2 linked regions of the Drosophila melanogaster genome follow. The protein of the gene in region 1 interacts with the protein of each later gene in a pairwise test. Each region holds a gene or a part of one and is shown in the gene's direction. Other genes may lie near its edges.

The links.
Region 2: the proteins of srp (region 1) and CG11672 interact in a two-hybrid assay, tested with the Drosophila melanogaster proteins (one large-scale study listed by BioGRID).

What each region holds. Positions count from the first base shown.
Region 1 is NT_033777.3:15,988,226-15,998,735, forward strand, and holds the start of srp (serpent), read left to right. Parts: upstream 1-5,914; 5' UTR 5,915-6,000; coding exon 6,001-7,499; intron 7,500-10,510. UniProt on the Drosophila melanogaster protein: May function as a transcriptional activator protein and may play a key role in the organogenesis of the fat body. Binds a sequence element (5'-[TA]GATAA-3') found in the larval promoters of all known alcohol dehydrogenase (ADH) genes.
Region 2 is NT_033777.3:8,285,873-8,296,196, reverse strand, and holds CG11672 (uncharacterized protein), read left to right. Parts: upstream 1-5,618; 5' UTR 5,619-5,648; coding exon 5,649-5,699; intron 5,700-5,761; coding exon 5,762-6,433; 3' UTR 6,434-6,802; downstream 6,803-10,324. Other genes in the region: CG9626 (uncharacterized protein), read left to right, coding at 52-1,988; CG31463 (uncharacterized protein), read right to left, coding at 2,680-3,831; CG31464 (uncharacterized protein), read right to left, coding at 4,193-4,843, 4,898-4,945; nazo, read right to left, coding at 7,679-7,899, 7,957-8,158.

The sequences.
Region 1 (10,510 bases):
ACAGAGTGCGCCAAACTCTAGGAAAAACCGCACCTACTCCATATAAACATAGAGCCACAAGCACTGCGGATGAGCTGTATCCGCGCGTGTCTCTTAACTGGGTCTTCAATGAGTACCTGTTGCTAGTGGCTTGGTTACCTGTCTGTCCGTCCAACTTCGTAATATAATGTGTGTTTGACAGGATATGCCCAGTCCCAGTCTCAGTCCCAGTTCTATTACCATTTCCAGTCCCTATTCCGATCCCAAACACCCAGACACCGTGCCCCGTCATCGCTCCGACTTGCATTGTTCTCCGCTGCGGAACTTTAATTACCCAACCTTACTTTCACTGTCCGCATAAAAATTAATGAGTTTAGGACTTGTCCGTTTAGCGTCCGCGTCTTCCATTCATAAATTTTGTTTCGGGGCTGGGAAATTCCCGTGTCCTGATTCATTTGCCATTCCTTTTTATGAATGGATATGCTCTATTTTTGGGATTGCTTCGGATCGGTTTTTAATGGGGGAATTCCATTTATCTGATTGGTAGTTTTCCGTATACCGCATTTGTTTATGCTAATTGCAAGCTATCCTACGGCTGTATAACTTGGACCCCGATAAAGTTCTTTAGTGTTTCCAAGGGCCTAAAAAAGGTTCATATGGATTGAATTATCTGGAAATAGTCATGTAGTTTAATACATACACTATTATTACATTCTGAACACAATTTTTTAAAAAATATTTATTAAGACTTTTTTCATTAATTTATAATAGAAGATATTTCAATATAATGCTTTCAAATAGTCTCCGCATTAGAGGCCCACCAACAGCGATTGTCACTTAAGCGCACCATTAAAAAATCATCAGAGAAGCGATTCGAAATGTTTTTCAAGTGGACGCCCTAATTATAAAGCGCCAGCTCTAGGTACACACGTGGCTAACGACGAAAAGTAAAAACATATTTTCGAAAATTATATAACCCAACAATGGAAGGGACAATATTTTCCCTGACGTTGTCAGCGAAAACAAATTCATAATTCTGTTTATTTGCTTGGTCCGAGAGCGAAAGGATCTTGAAGGACATCGAAGGGATCGAGGGAACCAAGTGAGCACGAGATGCGGCAATAACAATAACAACCGCATCCCCTGGGTGTCCTGTCTGTTGTCCGCTGTCCCCTTCCCCTTGCCACGATCGATTTGTATCGTGTCGGCGCGTGTTGCCATTTTGTCCTGTTTACCGTGCCGCAGGCCACTAACTATCCGCTTACCTGGACGGGTCACCCGAAATGGGAATCCTACCTGAACGGGCAAATGGCAGCCGTCTGCGGCTTGGCCGGCCGATTAGCGCTGATCATTGCGGCTTAATCGTGGCTTCTTGACAGTTTCCAATACTAACTCTATTTAAATAGGTTCAATTGACGTTTTTTGTTTGTCCGGCTGTGGGAAAAAACTTCTCTCAAATGTGCAGAAAATATGTTCGGCCAGTCCAGGAAAGTCAGTCGGGGATTGTTCCAAGCAAAGCCGCTTGACCATATTACCTAATGATGTGTTTACTTATTTAATTCAACGTCACATGCGCCAGTGTTGATTCTACAAATTGGATAAGTATGCCATGTAAATTGTATTTGCATAAAATTGGAAAATTACTAAGATTGTTAACACTGACATGTGGGCAACAGAAAAATCTTTTTTTTCATATGTTTGTATACCAATGGACACTATCATTGAAAAAACAGTGTTTTTTTAGATATTACTAAAAACTAGTTTAATAATTCCTTAAAATGTTAATTTTAATCCTTGACTTTAAGAAATCTTTGAACTTAATTTGATCAAATGTGACAAAATCGTTAGTTTTCCCATTCTTGTATCTCCGCACAGCATCGGAAGATAACCCGAAACAATTGAGTCGCTTATTGTTGCATTAAAAGAGTGTTAAAGACATGTTCTCAATGGCCATTAAATGGGTTTGATAAGAGCACAACTTTGTGGCAGGCCGCAGGCCACTTGAATCGGATCTGGCCGGTTTATTGTAGGAGTTTTATTTGAATGCCTACCACATAACGATGCAGATAATTGGCGCTTAAGGAGTCAAACGACTTGTATCCAAAAGATAGGCGAACACTCAGCACTCAACAAAGAGCTCTTCATGAAATGGATCCGTGGCGTATTGGATTACCAGCGCAATATTTATGGCCGCGATGTACACGAAAATATTAAAAATGCATAAATACATCGGCACCGAGACTATGAACGATCATCGTACATCGTCCTGATATGTGAGACACTCGCCACGCTTGACACTTGTTTGAGGGGAGTGGAGCGGGGAACCTGCCCCGGGTAACCCATTTTCGGCCACCATAAATATGTCAAAATAGTTTGAAGCCAAACTTAGTGGCATTAAACCCTGGATTTCGTGAGTACGTGTGCGTTTCACTTTGGTCTCGTGGGATATACAAATAAGAATGTTCTGTTTGAATTGGACCTCAGTGGATTTACTAATGTCCCAATGTATCGTACAAAACTTATTAAACGACTTTTCGCCATAAACAATGGCTATTCGATAGGTAACCTCCCCCCCTCCGCCAACAAAAATCAGAGAGCTGTGCCACGGCCCATTGACAATCGGAGATCGAGTGTGAAAAAGGGCACCTCCTAGCCCGCAGACCCACAAGATTATCCTTTCCCAAGGACTTGTAATAAATCACATCATTAGCATAGCATCTCCTAGTGATTTATCGTTTCGGGAGATCGCTCTGGAGCAAGATCCTCATGTTTGTTGACACTGCACATGCTCCTCCGAATCCCCCACACACTCATCTGAATTGTCCGATCTGCGGATCTTTTCGAAGGGCGGGGCACTCAGCCCTGACTCACATTTAAATGCGTAGTTCTTCACCATAGTCTAGTGGCTTTAAGGCCGCCTACCGTTATTTGCATGTGTACTCAATGCATTTCGTTTATAGAAGCCCGACTTATCAGACCTAACTAAGCATAACATTGCCAGCTTGGGGTCACAGGCAAAAGAGGGTCAAATCGGATGGGGAGCTCGGCTAGGTAAATACTGAATTAAAGTGTGAGAAAGTCACAAGTGTGTAATAGCTTCTTTATACAAGATCCAGATAGTAAACACGTTTAGTTGACTTTAAACTACAGCTGATCTTTTCTAACTCGCTTTAAAGGAGACTACATGGAATGCATATTTATTTTATTAGTGATCTATGTTGAAACGAACATGTTTAAACATTTTCTGGTTTCAAATGCAATTAATTGGCTAATTTAGGTTCTAGACATGCGCGAATCGCATGCTATATTGAGTTGATCCCCCATGTGACGTCAGTGCCAGTGTTTCAAAGTTGGCATTTAATAATTTCAAGGTTAAAGTTCCATTATGGATCCCAGGCACATGCAGCCAATGAGCTCGAATTGAACATTTCGAAATACTTGTTTTTGCTTTCGTAGTAAAATTGAAATTCGTCCGATTCCGATCGAGAGTGTTGGGCCAACCGAAGGCGAACAGAAAAACATGTGAATAAATTATTTGAAAAATATATAAATATGAATAAATGAGGCGATCGCGGAGAGGCGTCAACCTTAGTCCCCATGTGTCTAGGGAAAGGTCCGGTCTAGTTCCCCACTTCAGCACGACTTCGCAGCGATGCCAAGAACACCTTATCAACATTTTCGATTTTTCGTATATTTAATAACGTACACTTATGTGATTTTAATACCGACAAAGGTTAAGCGATTTATGTCTATGTACGAGTGCGCATGTCGCCTGTATTCGGCGTTCTATGCAGCATTCAAAATCGAATTCGATTCTGGTTCTGGTTTTGGTTTTGGAAGCGAAGCACTTGTGTGTGTCGCCCACTATGTACACCAATTGATCAACGATCGTTAAAATGTTCCCAAAATGTCCAAACAGATCGTTGGTGCCGCCTATTCAAATGACGATAAAAATGCCATAAAAATACCGCCCGAGCCTCCCAAGATCCCACTCGAAAATCGTTTTACGACTCGTCCTGGTTCAAATGTAACAATTTTTTAATCAGCCATTGGAACGGAGCTCAAGTGCATTGTTTTTATGTATTTTGGCGCGACGTCTCGGGAATTTGCATGGGCCAAATGCAGACGGACTCCTGGGGAAAGTCTTTCCCCATCATTTTTCTCACGTTCACTTGTCGCGCCACGAGATTTGTCCTGAAATTCTACACGCGTCTCGGTTGGATTTTAATGTTCTCGTCCTCGCGATAGGCATGAATGTGTCTGGATCTGGATCCTGGAGCCCCAGTCCTATGCGCATGGTAATTTGAAAATTTTGAGAAATTTCATATTGGGTCTCTCAGAAGGCGTTCTGATTTATGCGTAAATTTCACGATTGAATTGAAGAACTAACCGTGAAGAGTATTGAGACGAAAGTAATGGGCTAAAGTGAAGGGAGTTTTTTTTAATTCTGGTATGCTATTATATTTGAAGTTTAATGAAATTATTGGGTTTGCCCAAAACGCAATCAGAACATTTAGCCTTACATATTGAGTACCTTTTATAAATGTATCTTATTTTAATTACTGTTTTAACGTTTTTGATTTTCTTAAAACTATATAAACATATATTTTCTTTGTTTATTTTTATATTCATGTTCATATTCATATACAAAATTTTTAATCTATGCTGTTAATAATTCGAATCCGTACAAATTAGACCGTTGGTATTATGCATATATGTTAATGATTCTGTTTTTGAAAATGTTTACTATATTTTTAATTAAACTTCATTGTTGCTTTATACTTCTACATTTCAAATATTCATTTAAATAGAAATTTTCAGTAAGAAATGTTACATTTTTCAAATTCCTTTAAACTTAGCTTACATTTTAAACGTTTCTTAATATACATGGATTGTTTTTTCATTTAATTTCCAGATTTTGTGTGTACTTTTTTGCGGTCGCTGGTAGTCGACAGTCAACCAACCACAATAACAGCGACCACAACAACACCAATCGAGCAACAGTAGAGGCCGCCCCAGCTACAACAACAACACGTTCCGGCATGGCCTCTACCTCGGCCTGCCCCCACCCACCCCTTCTTCAACTTTCCGCGCCTGTTGTTGCTGCTGATGTAGTGAGAGGCGGAGCAACGCAGCACAAAGCGGAGGCAGTAAGTGCGATAAGGCAGGCATTAGGCGCAAGCACAAGCGAATAGTAAGCGAAGGAAGAGAGGAGCCAAAGAGAGGGATCCACAAAAAGAGAAAGAGTGAGTAGGCGAGTGCGGGAGCGTGGAGCTCGCATCGAATATTTCGAAATATTTAAAGCTGTACACGAGACGAAAATATTCATGTTTTCGAAATGAATTTGATCCTTGTTGAAATCTTGAAAATCTAAAAACTATGTCATAAATTTAGTCATATGTGTATTTAATGTATATTTAATGTGTATATATAATTTATGAAATAAAAGATCTAATTTCCTATTCCGTTTATTAGTCATATTATATTTTTATATTTTATTATATATTTCAATGTATTATTATTATATATTTTATCTTAAGTTTGCTTTATCCAAAGAAATAAATGAATAGATTTACTACATGTTTACTACATTTACTATATGTATTTATTTATTTCTTTAGATAAACCAAACTTAACTTAATAAATAGTGATCTTAGGACAAGGATAGAAATTAAGATGATCGTCATTTTTATTTCTGTGCACCAACATGCGATTACGATTACGAGTGGCGCTCGTGTAACGGCATGTAGAGCAAAGTGCTAAGCAAACGCAACTGTAATCAATGGACAGAGATGGCGAGAGGGAGAGAGGATGCTCGATGAGATTTGTTCTCGATTTGGTTTTCTAAAAAAAACATTTTTAACGAGCTTTATTTTTTCGTGTTGCTTTGCTGTTCCGTATTTCGAAGTTCGAACCGCAAGCCGCTCAAATCAAATCAGTTTCTGTGAAAATCGCGCCGGATACGGACACGTACGTGGATTGCGGCGGAGAATCCGGATAATCGTGTGGAGCGCCGGAATCATGACGAAAACGACAAAGCCCAAGGAGAAGGCAGCGGCGGGAGGGGCGGTTATAGGGTCGGGATCGGGATTGGGTTCGGTGACCAAGGCGGGCGGCGGTAGTCTGCTTTCGAATGCGGCGGACAGTAAGATCCGCACGGCCAAGTCCAACAACAACAAGCGGCAGGCAGGACGAGCGGCGACAGCATTAGCAGCTACAACAACAGCATCAGCCTTAGCGGCAACAACAACAGCGGGAGCAACAGGATCAAATGCAGCAGCGAATGAGACGGAAATAGCGATCGAAACGGAGAACGGAGAAGCAGCGACGCCGACTGCGGCAGCAACGGCCGCCGCAGCGAATTTATCGTCACTTGAGTCCGCTCGCTCGCAGGCTCTCACTTCAGTTGTCAGCGAAACAGCAAGGCAAGCGGTTACCACAGCAAACGCGTCGGCAACATCAACATCAACAGTTACAGCAGCAACAGAAATAGCAACCGCAACAGCAAGCGACACAGCAGCAACATCTGAAGCAGCGATCGATGACGATCCAAGTGCGATAAATACTAACAATAATAATAATAATAGTAAAGCGCAGAACGACGCGAGTGAAAGTGTTAAAACAAAAGTGATAAGCTACCATCAGTCTGAGGATCAACAGCAACAGCAGCAGCAACAAGCCCAGATCTACGAGCAACAGCAACAGTTTCTCAGCCAGCAATTAATAAGCCACCATCAGCAGGAACAGCATCAGCAGGCGCAGCAGCAACAGCATCAGCAGGTGGTGCAGGAGCAACACCAGGCCAGTTGGCTGGCCTATGACCTGACCAGCGGATCAGCGGCAGCAGCAGCGGCGGCAGCGGCAGCAGCATCGCATCCCCACCTCTTCGGGCAGTTCTCCTATCCGCCCAGCCATCATACGCCTACCCAGCTCTACGAGCACTACCCCAGCACGGATCCCATAATGCGGAACAACTTTGCGTTCTACAGCGTCTACACCGGAGGCGGTGGCGGAGTGGGCGTGGGCATGACTAGCCACGAGCATTTGGCAGCGGCGGCGGCAGCGGCAGCAGCAGTGGCCCAGGGCACCACACCCAACATAGACGAGGTCATCCAGGACACGCTGAAGGACGAGTGCTTCGAGGATGGCCACAGCACCGATTACCATGTGCTGACCTCCGTGTCCGATATGCATACGCTAAAGGACTCCAGTCCCTATGCCCTCACCCACGAGCAACTCCACCAGCAGCAGCACCATCACCAGCAGCAACTGCATCACCATCAGCAGCAGCAGCAACAACTTTACCACCAGCAACAGCAGCAGCAGCAGCAGCAACAACATCATCACCACCACAACAACTCCACCAGTTCGGCGGGCGGGGACTCCCCGTCGTCCTCGCACGCACTGTCCACCCTGCAGAGCTTCACCCAGCTGACCAGCGCCACCCAGCGTGATAGCCTCTCGCCGGAGAATGACGCCTACTTTGCGGCCGCCCAGCTCGGCAGCAGCTTGCAGAACAGGTGAGTCTTGCCGCGGAGCACTGTAATGAGCTCACTATCACGAAGCGGGCGAGCGCACGTGCCTTTCGACCGCTTGGCGACACCGTTAAAAGTCATGATCGGAGCTCCGATCAGCGATCAGCGATCACCTAACAGAGAACCGCGCCGGCTGATTCATATTTCTCCCGCCTTGGCGCGATTTGCTCGGGCGGAGTGACGAACCGAACAGAAGCGCCCATTGTGGGTATTGGTTCCAAAGCTCGGACTTCGGTCTCCTCTTTTCCACCGTCTCTCGCAATCCCAAATCCATACCCAAATACAGTCGGTTATGGTTATGGCGTTATGGCATTCCCAGGTGGTTTACTCAATATGCGGAATGCGAAAATCTGTTCCACTTTCATCTAGCCACCAAGTTAGTTCTGCTCCAAGAATGTGTTTCCAGCGGGACAACAAAAACATAAACAAAACACAGTTGTGAAGCCTCCGCAGATGTCTCATATGAGGAGCATTCCACGCATGACGCCCTGCGTGGGAGCAAAGTCAGTGGGGCAGGACTTTTGGTTTAGAAAAGTAGCTTAACGTATAGAAAATTTTTCGACAAAATATTCGTCCTGCCGATCTTAGGAAATTTTATTTAATATTCAAGAATGTTACTTTTACCTTCAGAGATGCTACTTAAAGTTTATTTATATAAAGTTCAGGGATTGATTATTATTTTAACATACTCCATTTAACATAAATCTTGTCATCTTTCCGATTATTTAGGAATATTGTTCGGCTTCTATTAGGAAAACTAACCTTGTCCACGATCAAAGTAAACAATGTGAGACAACAAATAAAGAGGCTTTGCACTTGGCATTTTATAGCGTCGCCTCTGTGAAATCATCTGCAAACTCGAACTCAGCAGAATATACACAAATTGCCGCTCGAATTTCGTAAACAAGAATATGCAATGTCTTAATTATTGACGCATGGCTTGTCTGACTCATGAGTTTTCCCCTTTGGATCCTAGTCCGGGCAGCACCGACTTCCCCACCAGATGCAGGAAATCTAAATGGTTCACTTAGTTTCTTTGTTAGTTTTTCCGACCAGCATGCGTGAGCTAGTGTTGCACGTGTCCAGGTTGCTGCCACATTTGGCCTAAAACCAGCACGTGCCACAGACTGTGGCAAGCTAGCTCCTAAAAGCCAAACAAAAAAGGGGGCGCGACCCGCATTTGATTGAACAGTCGAAACTCGCGGCGACTCTTCAGAGCCAAAACCAAAAAAAAAAAAAACAGTAAAGGCAAATTGCCATTGTAGCGCATTTTTCTAGCTTGTTTTGGGTGCTCGGGTTGCAAGCTCTATTGCTTTCGGTGAGAGGATACCTTTCGAGTGTGTGACTGTTTGGGAGCCGGGGTAACCCAAAGCCATCCCGTGACATAGAAACCCCCGAACGAAACCCAAACTGGAGCCCACAGAAACAGAAACAGCCTCAAATGCTTCGTAAGTGTCTATTTTTTTTTTGTGTTCAGGGCTGCCTCTGCTGACTCAGCAACCCCCAAGTTGCAGTGCACCATGAAGGGTTAAGGAGAGTGGCAAGCGGAGCAGCAGCGTTACGTTAGGTACGGCGGGAAATTATAAATACATCGGTGGGAGGCAGCGGACCCAACGCACCCGCACATTGCCGATCGCGTTTTACTCGACTATTTTCTGGTAATTCGCATCTATACTTTTAGCTTTTTTCGTTTGTTTTCCCTATGTTATTATTTAAATTGAAAACGTGTTTTGCATATGCATATGGAAACAGGCATGAATGCACATTCAGTTGAAGTATATATGAAGTCATGTGAGGAACAGACCAAAATGTTAGATTTTTAGAAGTCAAACATGTTAGAAACGCAATTGGGTGAAATTAGAGTTATGGAAAAGTATCTTTCGTATGACGGAAATATACACTTGTACATATATGTGGTAACATAACGTCATCTGGTGCCGGATGGTGATGGTGACGCTGATGTGGCCAGCACTTCGTATGTGACTTTTTGGCCAGTTTCGCTTTTGTGGCAGTGAGAAACCAGAAGAAGATATCACGCTGCTGGCCAGCTCACATGCCATTTTTGCCATGCATACACACTCATAAGTATGTGAAAAACAAGAAGTCGACGCAAAATACTCACCTGCGACAAACAACAGAAGTGAACCGCGCAGCGGCGATAAAGTTATATCGTTGTCGTGCACTTTTTCTTGTCACTCAGACTTCCTATATATGCAGCTATATATTATAGCTTGGCTGTAGCTGTGGGGCATCTCGGGCTGGAAATACGGTTACCGCTGTTATCAGAGAGCGTGCGCATCTAGCTGCAAGACTTGGTCGTATAAATTCTGGCAACAAAGAGTCAATTATTTGCAAGCCGTTTGTTTGATAATTGAATACATTCATACGCAGATATGCGATTTTTTTCGGTTAACTTTATTCTTTAGTCACTTGATCACATTGTGTGTGTGTGTGTGTGTGTGTGAGTAGTGACTTGGATTACTTTGGGCCAACACTCACGGCAACAACAATAGCAATCACAGTTGCAGCAGCAGCAGCAGCCGCAGCAGCAGCGACAACTGCAACTGCAACTGCATTGGCATAAAACTAAACCCGACTCAAGTCATTATGCAAACGCGCGTGCCCCGATTCGGTTGTGCTTTCTTCTCGGTCGCGGTCTCCGTCTCCATCTCCATCTCCACCTCCATCTCGTCATCCAGAGAACTCGGCCCGAAATAAAACTGAAAACTAAAACACAAATAAATCAAAACGAAAATGAAAACGCCAATGCTGAGCTGAACACTTTCGCGAGTTTCCTTCCATTGCTGCCGTTTGAAAATAAATAGATAGTTGTATTCTTCAACAAAAAGCAAATACTGATTGTGCCGATCAGTTCGATTGAATTTCTAAGAAGGATCCTTCTCTGTCCAGCGCGTAATAAGTGTGCACCTGTGAAAACGAAAGCTCCAAAACTTCGATCCTTGATCCCTAGTCTCTTTGAGATCGTTGGACTTACG
Region 2 (10,324 bases), 7.7 Mb from region 1:
TTCTTCCACTTAACCGAACCGTACCTTATTCGAATCTTAATGACTTTGTAGAGGGTGGAAGCAACCGGTATCCCCGAGACTTAGTGCCGGATATTAACATCACCAGCGAGGATGGGCAGCAGTTGGACTCCAGTTCGGCCTATGCCACCTGCGACAACTCCAGCCGGGATCGATTGGCTCAGGATGACAACAGTGCTAGTGCAGCTTCACCGATGGAGCATGAAACGGAGACTAGCACCACAACGGGCACTTTGTGCCGATCCAGTTTGCCCACCGTGAATGCCAATCCGATTGCCAATAATGGTGCAACCAGTGCAAGTGCTTCTGCTAAGAAAAAACTGCTGCGACTGCGAAAAATGGGTTCCCGGCAGAACAGCAAGACGGAGAGCGACAGCAGCGATGCGGATACCCACTCAGTTTTGGAGACACCGCGCCGATTGCGCCGCAAGAATTTCCGGCTGAAGCAGCGTTCCTTGGATGATGACTTCCGGTTGAGCTCGACGACAAATGAACATGATGTGGCTACTGCCAGAGAAGACATAGTCTACGGGTCACTGAAGGTTAAGCCAGGCGAACTCATTGAGCAGAGTCAGTGCGTGGCACCTGCTCCAGTGCACCTCGTTTTACATGATCCATCTTTATCTTCCTCCGCATCCACCACTCCTCTCACTTCAACCACTCCTTCCTCAATAGTTACTCCACCCACAAAGCTGGGAGCCTTTATTCCTCCTCCTCTGCCGGAACACAATCGAACATACAACACTAATGCCAATGTCTTCGTGAAGACCAAACGGAAACTCTTCACTACTATCCCAAAACCAAGCGCCGCGGAAGGCCTAGCTGTGATAGAAAAGGAGCTGGACAGTCCCACGGAGGAGAAATCGGAAAAGGTGGACAGACCTGGGAAGTCAAGATGCCCTCTCAAGCCCCTTAATCTGTACAAGTCCATTAGTTTGGACCGTATAACACAACCGCCCAGCAAAGAAGAACTCCGGAAATGTCAAAGTAGCGAACACTTCCGGCGGGGAATCCTATTTGTGCGACCGCCACTGGCTAGTGATAGCATCGAGAGATTGTCCAAGAAACATCAGGAGTTAAACAATCCTCCAGTTCCGCCTCGGAAAGCTCATCTTTACAAGAAAAACTCTTTGCACAAGTCACACAGTGCAAATGCGAGCAACAAGATTGAGCACAAGATAGCCAAGACTAGCTCAGGACCCAGTTTCTCCCGGGTGCATCCTCCGCCACCGTCGCCTGTTCCGCTAACTCTACCCAATAAACAAGATAACACTCTGCCACGAATCCAGCGTAAACATCCCAATACTCCAACCAAGGCCAAGCAGTTCGAGTTTCCGCCACCTCAGATTCTTGCGCCGGAACGTCCAGTCACTCCTCTTTCGGAGAGAGCCATACGCCTCCAGTTGGCCAAGGCGCAGTTTCTTCAAAGTGCTCCAGTTACTCCCCGCCAGGGTCCCCAAACTCCAACTAAGGCAACGGAATCTGTGGTGCTCCAAAAGAGCATCAGTGCGGGCAGCATGAGGGGTGGAGCAGGGGGAGGAGCAGCTGTCCATGAGGCGGCACAGCAACAGCATTATCATGACACATCCACGGATCAGGAAAGTGTGGGCCACTCCAGTGCCTACGATAGTTTGCCCAGAGCAGTGAGCCGAAGTGCCAAGATTTCTAGTAAACTGGGATTCGCCACTTTAACATCAAAGTTACGAAGGGGCAACAAAAAGCCCAAGAATCCACCTCCTAGTCCTGGTAGCGCCTTATCCGCCCTGTGTCGGCAAACCCTAATGGCCGATGTCATAGCCATACCACAGGCTTTCGGAACGGAGAAGCCTCCACCAAGTCCCACAGGACGAAATGTCTCAAAGTCGCAGAGCACGCCGCAGGCTGCTGGACCTTCGAATATCAATTTCGAAGGGATTCCCAAGTCGCTGAGCGAACAATATGTCCGCCAGCTCAAGGAGAGCGACGTCTAGTCAGATTCCCAGTCTCCAGTCCAGAATCTAGTCATAGGAGCAATCTATAAAATCGTTGTACGAGATAAGCGCGTGCATTTTGGGGTCAACCCGAATTAATTATTTAGATGTTGGCACAAAAGATGTCAGGTTCTCAGAACTCATCAATATTTCTTTTTTTGTACGTTAATAATTAGCGACCGTGTGCAGTAAAGTTGAGATACTCAACGAGCCATTTGCGAAGCAGAATCAGATTGATCTGCGTAAAATCAAAAATCCAAATCTAAGGTGTAGTCACTAAATCCACATTTTTTGTTTACGAAACATGCAATTACCTATTTTTATATCTAACCAAATATATTTTAAATATATGTACATTTTAAAAATATATCAAACGCTTTTCATTCGGTGCAATAAATTAATATAAATTTCCGATTACCGATTTTAAGATAAGAACCTCGGTACGAAAATAATGGGTGAACTTTTAATGTTAAGTAAAACTCACCTTTAAATTGATATTGTTTGCTGATTTCACAAACGAATTTGTGGTTTAAAAGTCTCGTAAAACAAAAACTTCTTGTAAAACCATGATCTATTTTAATCACAATCTTTCAATAATTGTATTGTAATCACAACGATCAATTTATTCTTATTTGGACATTATTGTGCCGATTATCAAACTTTGCCTTATCAATGGGTGAAATTCCAAAGCTTATCTGTGATCCTCATAGTCGTCCAACTCCGGATAGTCCGTATCATCGTCATCATCGTCCACCACGTTTTCATGGGGTATTTCCGGAGGATCAGCGCCAGTGTTCCAATAGCGATCCTCTTCGGGATGCGTGAATTCGAAGTCGGGCTTATCCGGATTCACGTAGGTAATGCAAGTGGTCAGATTCTGGGCCGTTTCCAACATTTGGGGTATGCTGTTGACGAACACCACTCCACACTCCGCAGAGTGGATGGCCTCCTCCGGCAACTGGTTGTTGATTTTGCCGTAGACATCGATTCCGACAGCGATGATGTCGTGTAGCCGGCGGATCGCACTGAGAGCGTTTACTGTACCCGACAGGATTTTGCCAACGGTGGTCTGCTTGGCGGCAATCTTCTTGCAAATCTTCACAAGACTACTGACATTGCGTTTAACCTCCTTCACAGCGGCCACTGTTTCATTCTGAATGCGCATTACCAAGGCCATGGTGCGGGAGTAGCAATCAACGCCATCGTTAATGGCCTGCAGACCTATCTGGAACTCTGGGACCAGCGAGTAACTGCAATAGGCGGCCTGACTTCCGCGGCCCCAGTAGTTCCACATGTATCCCAATCCGGCAATGGCTGCGGTCACGATCTTTGGTTTGTTCAGCTTCAGCAGATTCGTCTCCAGTTGGATGGCCCTCTCCACCAAGTCGTCAATGCCGAACTGTGCCTCGTCAATAACATCCTGAATAATCTCCCTGAGATCCTCGAATTCCGCCCTCTGATTTGGTGTGAAGTCGGGACTGGGCTTTCCCATGATCTCGTCGACAGTGGGCAATTTTGTGTCATACACCACTCGAGGTTTCTCATCCAAGTAAATGGAGAACTTTTCGCGAAAGTCTTCAAATGCCCGTAGGTAGTTGCTATCCAGTTCAGGCTCCTCCGCGGGATTCTGATCACTCCCATCGCCGCTCTGGAGCCTCAGGCTGTACAGATAGTTGTACTGCGCCTGAAACTCTAGGTACAGTGGACGCAAAGCAGCCACTTCCTCGCCAGACAACTGCAAGTCCACCTGTTGCTTCTGCAGCAGAGTCTCCAGTTCCTGGTTGGCTTCACCAAAAGCGAAGAGCAGCACACAGCCCAGCAGAAGCAATGCTTTTCCAATCATTTTGCCCGGGCAACTGTTTCAGTACAACTGAGGGAGGGATTTTGACCAGCTTCATTATCGGAAGAAGTATGGCTCGTAAAACACTATCGAAGATACCACACTTGGTTTTTCTTAAGTGGCGCAGGTTGATTAGGCTTATCCGGCTTATCGCCAATATTACGCTATATATAAACCACCACGGGGCAATGTTTTTCGAGAGAAAATTTAAATTTCTATTTGGCTTTTTATGAATGGTCGAACTGATAACGATTAAAGATAACTATGCTCATAAATATTAGGTAAAAGTTGATGTAAGTAATTAATATTTTCAAGTCGACACCAGACCACAGTTAATAGTGCATTTGACTTTATTACATTCTTTCTAGTTTATCGCACACGACTCAATCTGCGTAAAGAGGTCATCGAAATCCATCTTCAGATGATGGTAGAAGAGGCAACTTGGTGTGTCCAGGTCTTCCAAGGACATCTCCAGCACAATTGCATCGCACAGCTCCAGACTGCTGATCATCCGCTGATTGATCCTCCCGATTCCAGCGACAGTGCATAATAAAACTCCGGCGTGATTGAAACCAGACTGCTTAAGCTGCCAGATTCTGCAGGTGTTTGACAACTCACTGATCTCCCGCGAAGCCTTACTCAGAAAATTAGCCTCCAGCACGATTTCCTCCTGAAAATGATCCATGATGTGGTCCAGAGAATTCCTGCAGATACTGTACTTGTCCACCAGCTCTCGATTGAAGTGTGCCACCTGGAGTTCGTACTTCTTTGAGCATGCCCGCCACTCATCGCTGTACTGGCTTCCAAAAAACATCTCCAAGCGTCCACTAACCACTTGCTGATGGTCATCCAGTGTGTCCTTGGCTTCTTGAAGATACTCCAACTTCTGATCGAGGGCCTGTTGGGTGACGTTCCAGATCCTGGCTGCACTGGAGCTTTGGCTGGCTATAAGCTGCTTTGTGGACTCATAGAGTGGTCCATTTTGTCCCCAAATTCTTTGAAAGTGGCCATGCACCTGTAAGATCTTTTCTTTAATATTATACTTTACACAAATAATGCTATTTCATACACAAAGAAGCGACTGAAGTAAAAGCAGTGACACCCGTACTGTTGTCATCTTGAAACTAAATCGAATTGATTCCCGAAAAATTGAAGATACCATACCTTTTATTTATAGATCGCCAAAGGTTGCCTTAATTAACTAAGACTAAGAATTAAATTCTTTTTTGGGAAAGAGTTTTAACGCTTTAACAAAAATTGTTATTGTTTATAAAGAAAATATTGGGATACCGAAAAATTTAACAGCGTAAGTTGCTAAAAATACCCATGTCATATGTGATCAATATGAAACTTTAGGGTATTTAAGTTCCGAACAAAACTTAAATTAAGTTCTGAATTAGACAAATGGCTCATTTGTGTCTTATAATGTTTATAAGAAAGATTCTTATCGCATGATGACTGTGTAACGACTATATGCTTCAAGTTAGTCATCAACCTCAGCTTTCTTTAGCAAACTTGAACTGTAAATATCTCCCCTTTTACAAATAAAAGTATAATTGATCCCTCCATTATTCAACGAAGGTGAGAAATTTACAAAAAGAAATTACGAAAATTTACGAAAAATACGATGACCAAATAGAATACTTTGAATAGTATACCAAGTTCATGTACTAAAACATCATCTCAGTTCATCAAGTTAATGCTCAAATTGTGTTTCGTAGTGATTGCTATGAGACACACTCTTATCGTGACACTGGATCTCTTGACATATATAAGAAGTCAAGTGTAGGGCCAGTCGCACTAGGAAATATAACAGAAAGATGATGAGTCAAACTCTGGGAGTACTTGCTCTGCTTTTGCTGACTTTGGCAGTGAGTTAATAGTAACTTTCCATTTATAGTACTTTTCAAATTCATATGCTCCTTTATTTCAGGACTGCCAAGAAGTCGGCTATGAAACAAAGATGGAGACAGAGACTACAAACTATGGACCTGTTACCATGGTTGTGGACAATCTGGCAGAGATTGCCGTAAGTGTCAGCGACGACACCTCCATTCAGTTGGAGGAGAAAATAAATCGCACTCGGCAAAATATTGCCGGTAACATTGAGGTCCTGACCGCCAATGCTATGGCCGAACTAAGTGATGTGATCTATGAGACAAACCAGTTAGTGGTGTCCAATCCCGATTGCAACCCAGCCTGGAGCCTGGATGAGCTCAATGAAAATGTGACCCATCAGCTGGGTGGGTGTACGGAAGACTTGGGAAGCCTTTTGGAAGACTTCCGTCTGGAGAGTCAACTGGCTTTGGCCAGAGTACAGGAATTCGTACAGCAGATTGCCCACTTGCCGGCCAAGTGCCAATTGCTGGGGGCTTCCCCGCTTAATCCTCTAGCTTCAGCTGGCGGAAGTGTCTGTTTCATTAACGCGATGGCGGAAATCAATCTGGGGATGGCCCAATCCATGCACAATGCATCCCTAATCCTGGTGCAGACCCACCAGACCGCCGAGGATCAAGTGGTGCAGGCTCAGCTGTGCAGTGCCATGGTGGTGCAGCACATCGGCGACTATCTGCGCGAGGAGCAGGATCAGTGCCGGCAATCATAGTGGACCGACCCTTCCCGTAAGCAATAGTCCTAAGAGAGAACCCAGGCAAAAACAGCCAATGGCAAATTTATGCACCCGCAAGATGACAGGGGCCGAGGACTCGCCACATCCTGTTCACTTATTGCTTATGCATGACATTTATTTGACAAGTTTTTGATTGATTTTACAGCTGCTGCAGTCGATCTGGTACAGCTATCAGCATATTTGCAGGCACAGTGAAGCCTTTTTAAAGTCTGGCTTGGAATTGAAATAAAATCAATTTCAAATCACTATGTTCTTATAAAACGCTAAGAGGCGTGTGTTAAACCAAGGAATTTACACATTTTAAAATGATCAATAAATAGTGAAGTAAATTACTACTTAGTATCAAGATCTCATTTCAGTTTGATTCGACTTAGAGAGGTTGCTCTGTAATTGCATATATATACATATGTACATATGTATATTGGGCAACTTTGTGGCTAATCGCAAGTTCACTTTTCAAAGTCGCATGCATACTAATTGGCCATTGTTCGGCTAAACTGACCAATTGCCCAATGGACTTGCCCACGACACGTGGCAGCCACACGATATAAGATATAGTAGCATACGGATCCGATCCAAATGGGCGACAGCTGGCCCTAGAAAGAGATAGAGACGGAGATCGAGATCGAGATCAGCCAGTTTTTTTCCTCTTCCTCTCGCTTCCGCAGTAAGCAAAATTATTTTGACCTGCCTACCGCACACTGAGCGAATATCCGAAGCGAGTATCTGTGCATCCGTGAGATACACCAAAGCATCGCATCACACATCTCTCTCGTCGTTCACAGTGCAGCAACGAAATTTCTACGACTCTTTATTTCGGCTCTTGCCGCAATTTCACTAAGAGTCTCTGAATTTTATCTTATTTTTACTGCTTGTAACAGTTGTTGCCCTGCTGATGATCGCCTTGGTAGTGTAGCTGCACAAATTCCGCCTACTCCAACATCTGTTCAGCTCCTCCAGACATCTGACGGATTTTGATGACGTAGATCGCGCGACTCTTGTCTATTGAAAGCCGAGCTCTGAGCAAAACAATCTTTTTACATCTGGCACATCGAAAAGGCTAGTCACTGACTATTAAATTATAAGCTGAAATGGTTTTTACTATAGATTTTAAAATAAAATCATTCAGTGCGCCAACAATTTATTTATGTTGCAGGCAAAATTCTGTGTTATAGCATTAATCATCGAGAAATATAGTTTAAAAAATATTTCTATTAATGCCTAATCAACGATGGTCATTCCCATACGATCAGTGATATAGGACTTGACTGCTTCGAGTGCAACCTCTTGCACATGCCGGTTATTTAGTATTAGTCTTGCGACATCTCGAACGCGTACATTTCTAACTTCGGATATGGCCCTGATCACGTGCTGCTCCAGTTCTCGACGCTGACTCTCCGTCAAATCGTTCAAAATGACCTCACTTAGAGATTTGAAATTTCCTGGAATTAAAAGACTGATAAGAATGATAGTCACCATGTAACGCTAGACACTCTTGCCCTCCGTAAGTCCGTAGGCGGTGAGACCACCGATGGCCCCGCCCAGTGCCAGTCCCCGGGGGCCCAGCAGTAGTCCTCCGATCAGCGCAGCGCCAGCACAAATTGCAGCTCCCTTGCCGGCCTCCTTGATGGTCAACTGGATATTTTTATCGTCGGCCAGTATAGCCAGGGCATTGATTATCTCTGAGATGGCTGAATCCATATTTTCAATTTATGTATATTTCCGTTACAAAGTTTTACTTCTTTCCCGGTGACGATCTTTCTAACAACTGAGTACAATCACGTTGTTATTTCGTTATCAGTAGTGCAATAATTGTATATCCGCCACTGTGGAGGGGAGTTACTCGATACAAACCAAATCATCGAAATCAATTTTAATCTATCATTGCAATCAAGCTTCGCATATGTACATATGTAGATTGAAAGCTTTTTTTTAGGAGTACCCGATATCAGAACCCAAGTATAAAGAAATCATAATCTTATGGCAGTGCATCCAATGATTTAGCAGGCATGGAATGGAATTTTTTGAACCGCATGAATAATTACATTTCCAGTTGAAATCCCAAATTACTGGTTAAAAATACCACAAAGGCTTCCAATGCGGCACATTGCACTGTAAAATCACGCTTGAAACACTCCACAGCATTTGTAGCGACACCAACTATTTTTATAATAGCTGCCTTCACAAAGTCAACCAATTCTGCCAGGACCCTCAAGGTCAAATCCGCAATTTTCTCATACATCCAGTAGATAACTCCTACATTTCAAATACAATTGATATGATAGGTAGGTAATCGTTTAGTGTTTTATACTCGCCTTCTGTAAGTTGACCGTTTATGTTTATGTTTATGTTTATATGCCGTTGGCGGAACTTACCTTCCGAAGAACCTTCAAGGTGTTCCCTTTCCCTTTTCCTCCTCGCCGCGTTCAGGAGAGTCTCCAAAATCATTTCTAAGTCAAGATTCACCATTTTAACAAGTTTTCTGCCTGACGAATTATGGGTTCTAACGCGAACCAAACTTGTTATCAGACTTTTTTACCAGCCAATGGTATCAATAGAAATAAACGTTTGGCCAAACTTTAAAAATACCATATTTTAATACATGTACTAATAAACAAAATAATATGTATGTAACAATAGTTATCGATATGCGATGATCGATAATCTTCGCAAAGGGTAGCAAAGGTAAGAAAATAGGACAAGCTTAAAGTAGAAGTAGAACAAAGCGAGTTGAAGGTTGTGTAATTAAAAAAAGATCTTAAAGCCGAAAGTTGTCGTGTCCGGAGTAAGGAAAAGTTGTGTAGTCGTCGTATGCCCGGAGATCAAGAAGTGTTGGCACGAGTCATCTTTTTATTAAATACCTAATATAATAAGCAAACTATACTTCTATAAAATATTAATAAGATAAACAATTGTGCTAAACAATAAACATCCTACATATATTTTTAAAGAAATCTATGCATTTTTAATATTTTAAATAAAATTTTTCCTATTATTATTGTGAACACATTCCTTTTTGTTTGAGTTTTAGCACAATTCAGAGGAGTTCGTTTATATTTGGCGATTGCTTGTCAGGATTTAAGCATTAATTTGAATTTAATAGTCTTTACCTTGAGCCATATTGGCACAAGTGATATTGTCATGCACACATGTCGGAAGATTCGCATATCAAAGGGCCGTCTTCTTTCAGAATTCGGCTGACGTGCCTAGATGGCGTTTAAAAATCGCTGCCGGATTGTCTTTAATTTTGATTGATGCACCTTTAATTGCGTGGGCTTCCAAGTGCTACTGCTGAACTTTTGGGTAACTGTAACTGAATCAAGAGCGGATCGCTCTTAGCTGCTGGGAGCTAGCTAGCTAGCAGTTGTCTACTATGTACATATAAATATGGGATGCTTGAGGTTGAAGGATCGAGGTTTCCGCCTGCGACCAAATGGCGTGTCTTGCTCACACAATGCCGAATAATCGTTATTGTTGCTGGCTGTCTGCAGGACGAGCCGCGTGGCGTGCGAGTGAAAGCCAGCGAAAAGGACCCACTGCGGGGCATTGGCCAAAGCGAGATAGAGCCAAGGCGCAACATATGCCATCTTTGGCCGGTCTTTTCCTCCTCCTCCCCTCATTCCTCCAGCAGGACCTCTCGTCCTGTCCCTTTCTAGCCCGCTCCTTGGAACAGAACAAACGGACGACGCACGCCGTCATCTGGTGCCACTTTTGACTTTGGAAATTGGGTTGCCCACGCTCCTTCGCCCCAACACTTAGAAAAAATATTCCATGCTGTTTGAGAGTAAAAACTTTCTTATATCGACCAAATAATAGCATTTTGTAGTATACAGAACGTTGAAATAATTCCAGATCTCTGATAAACAG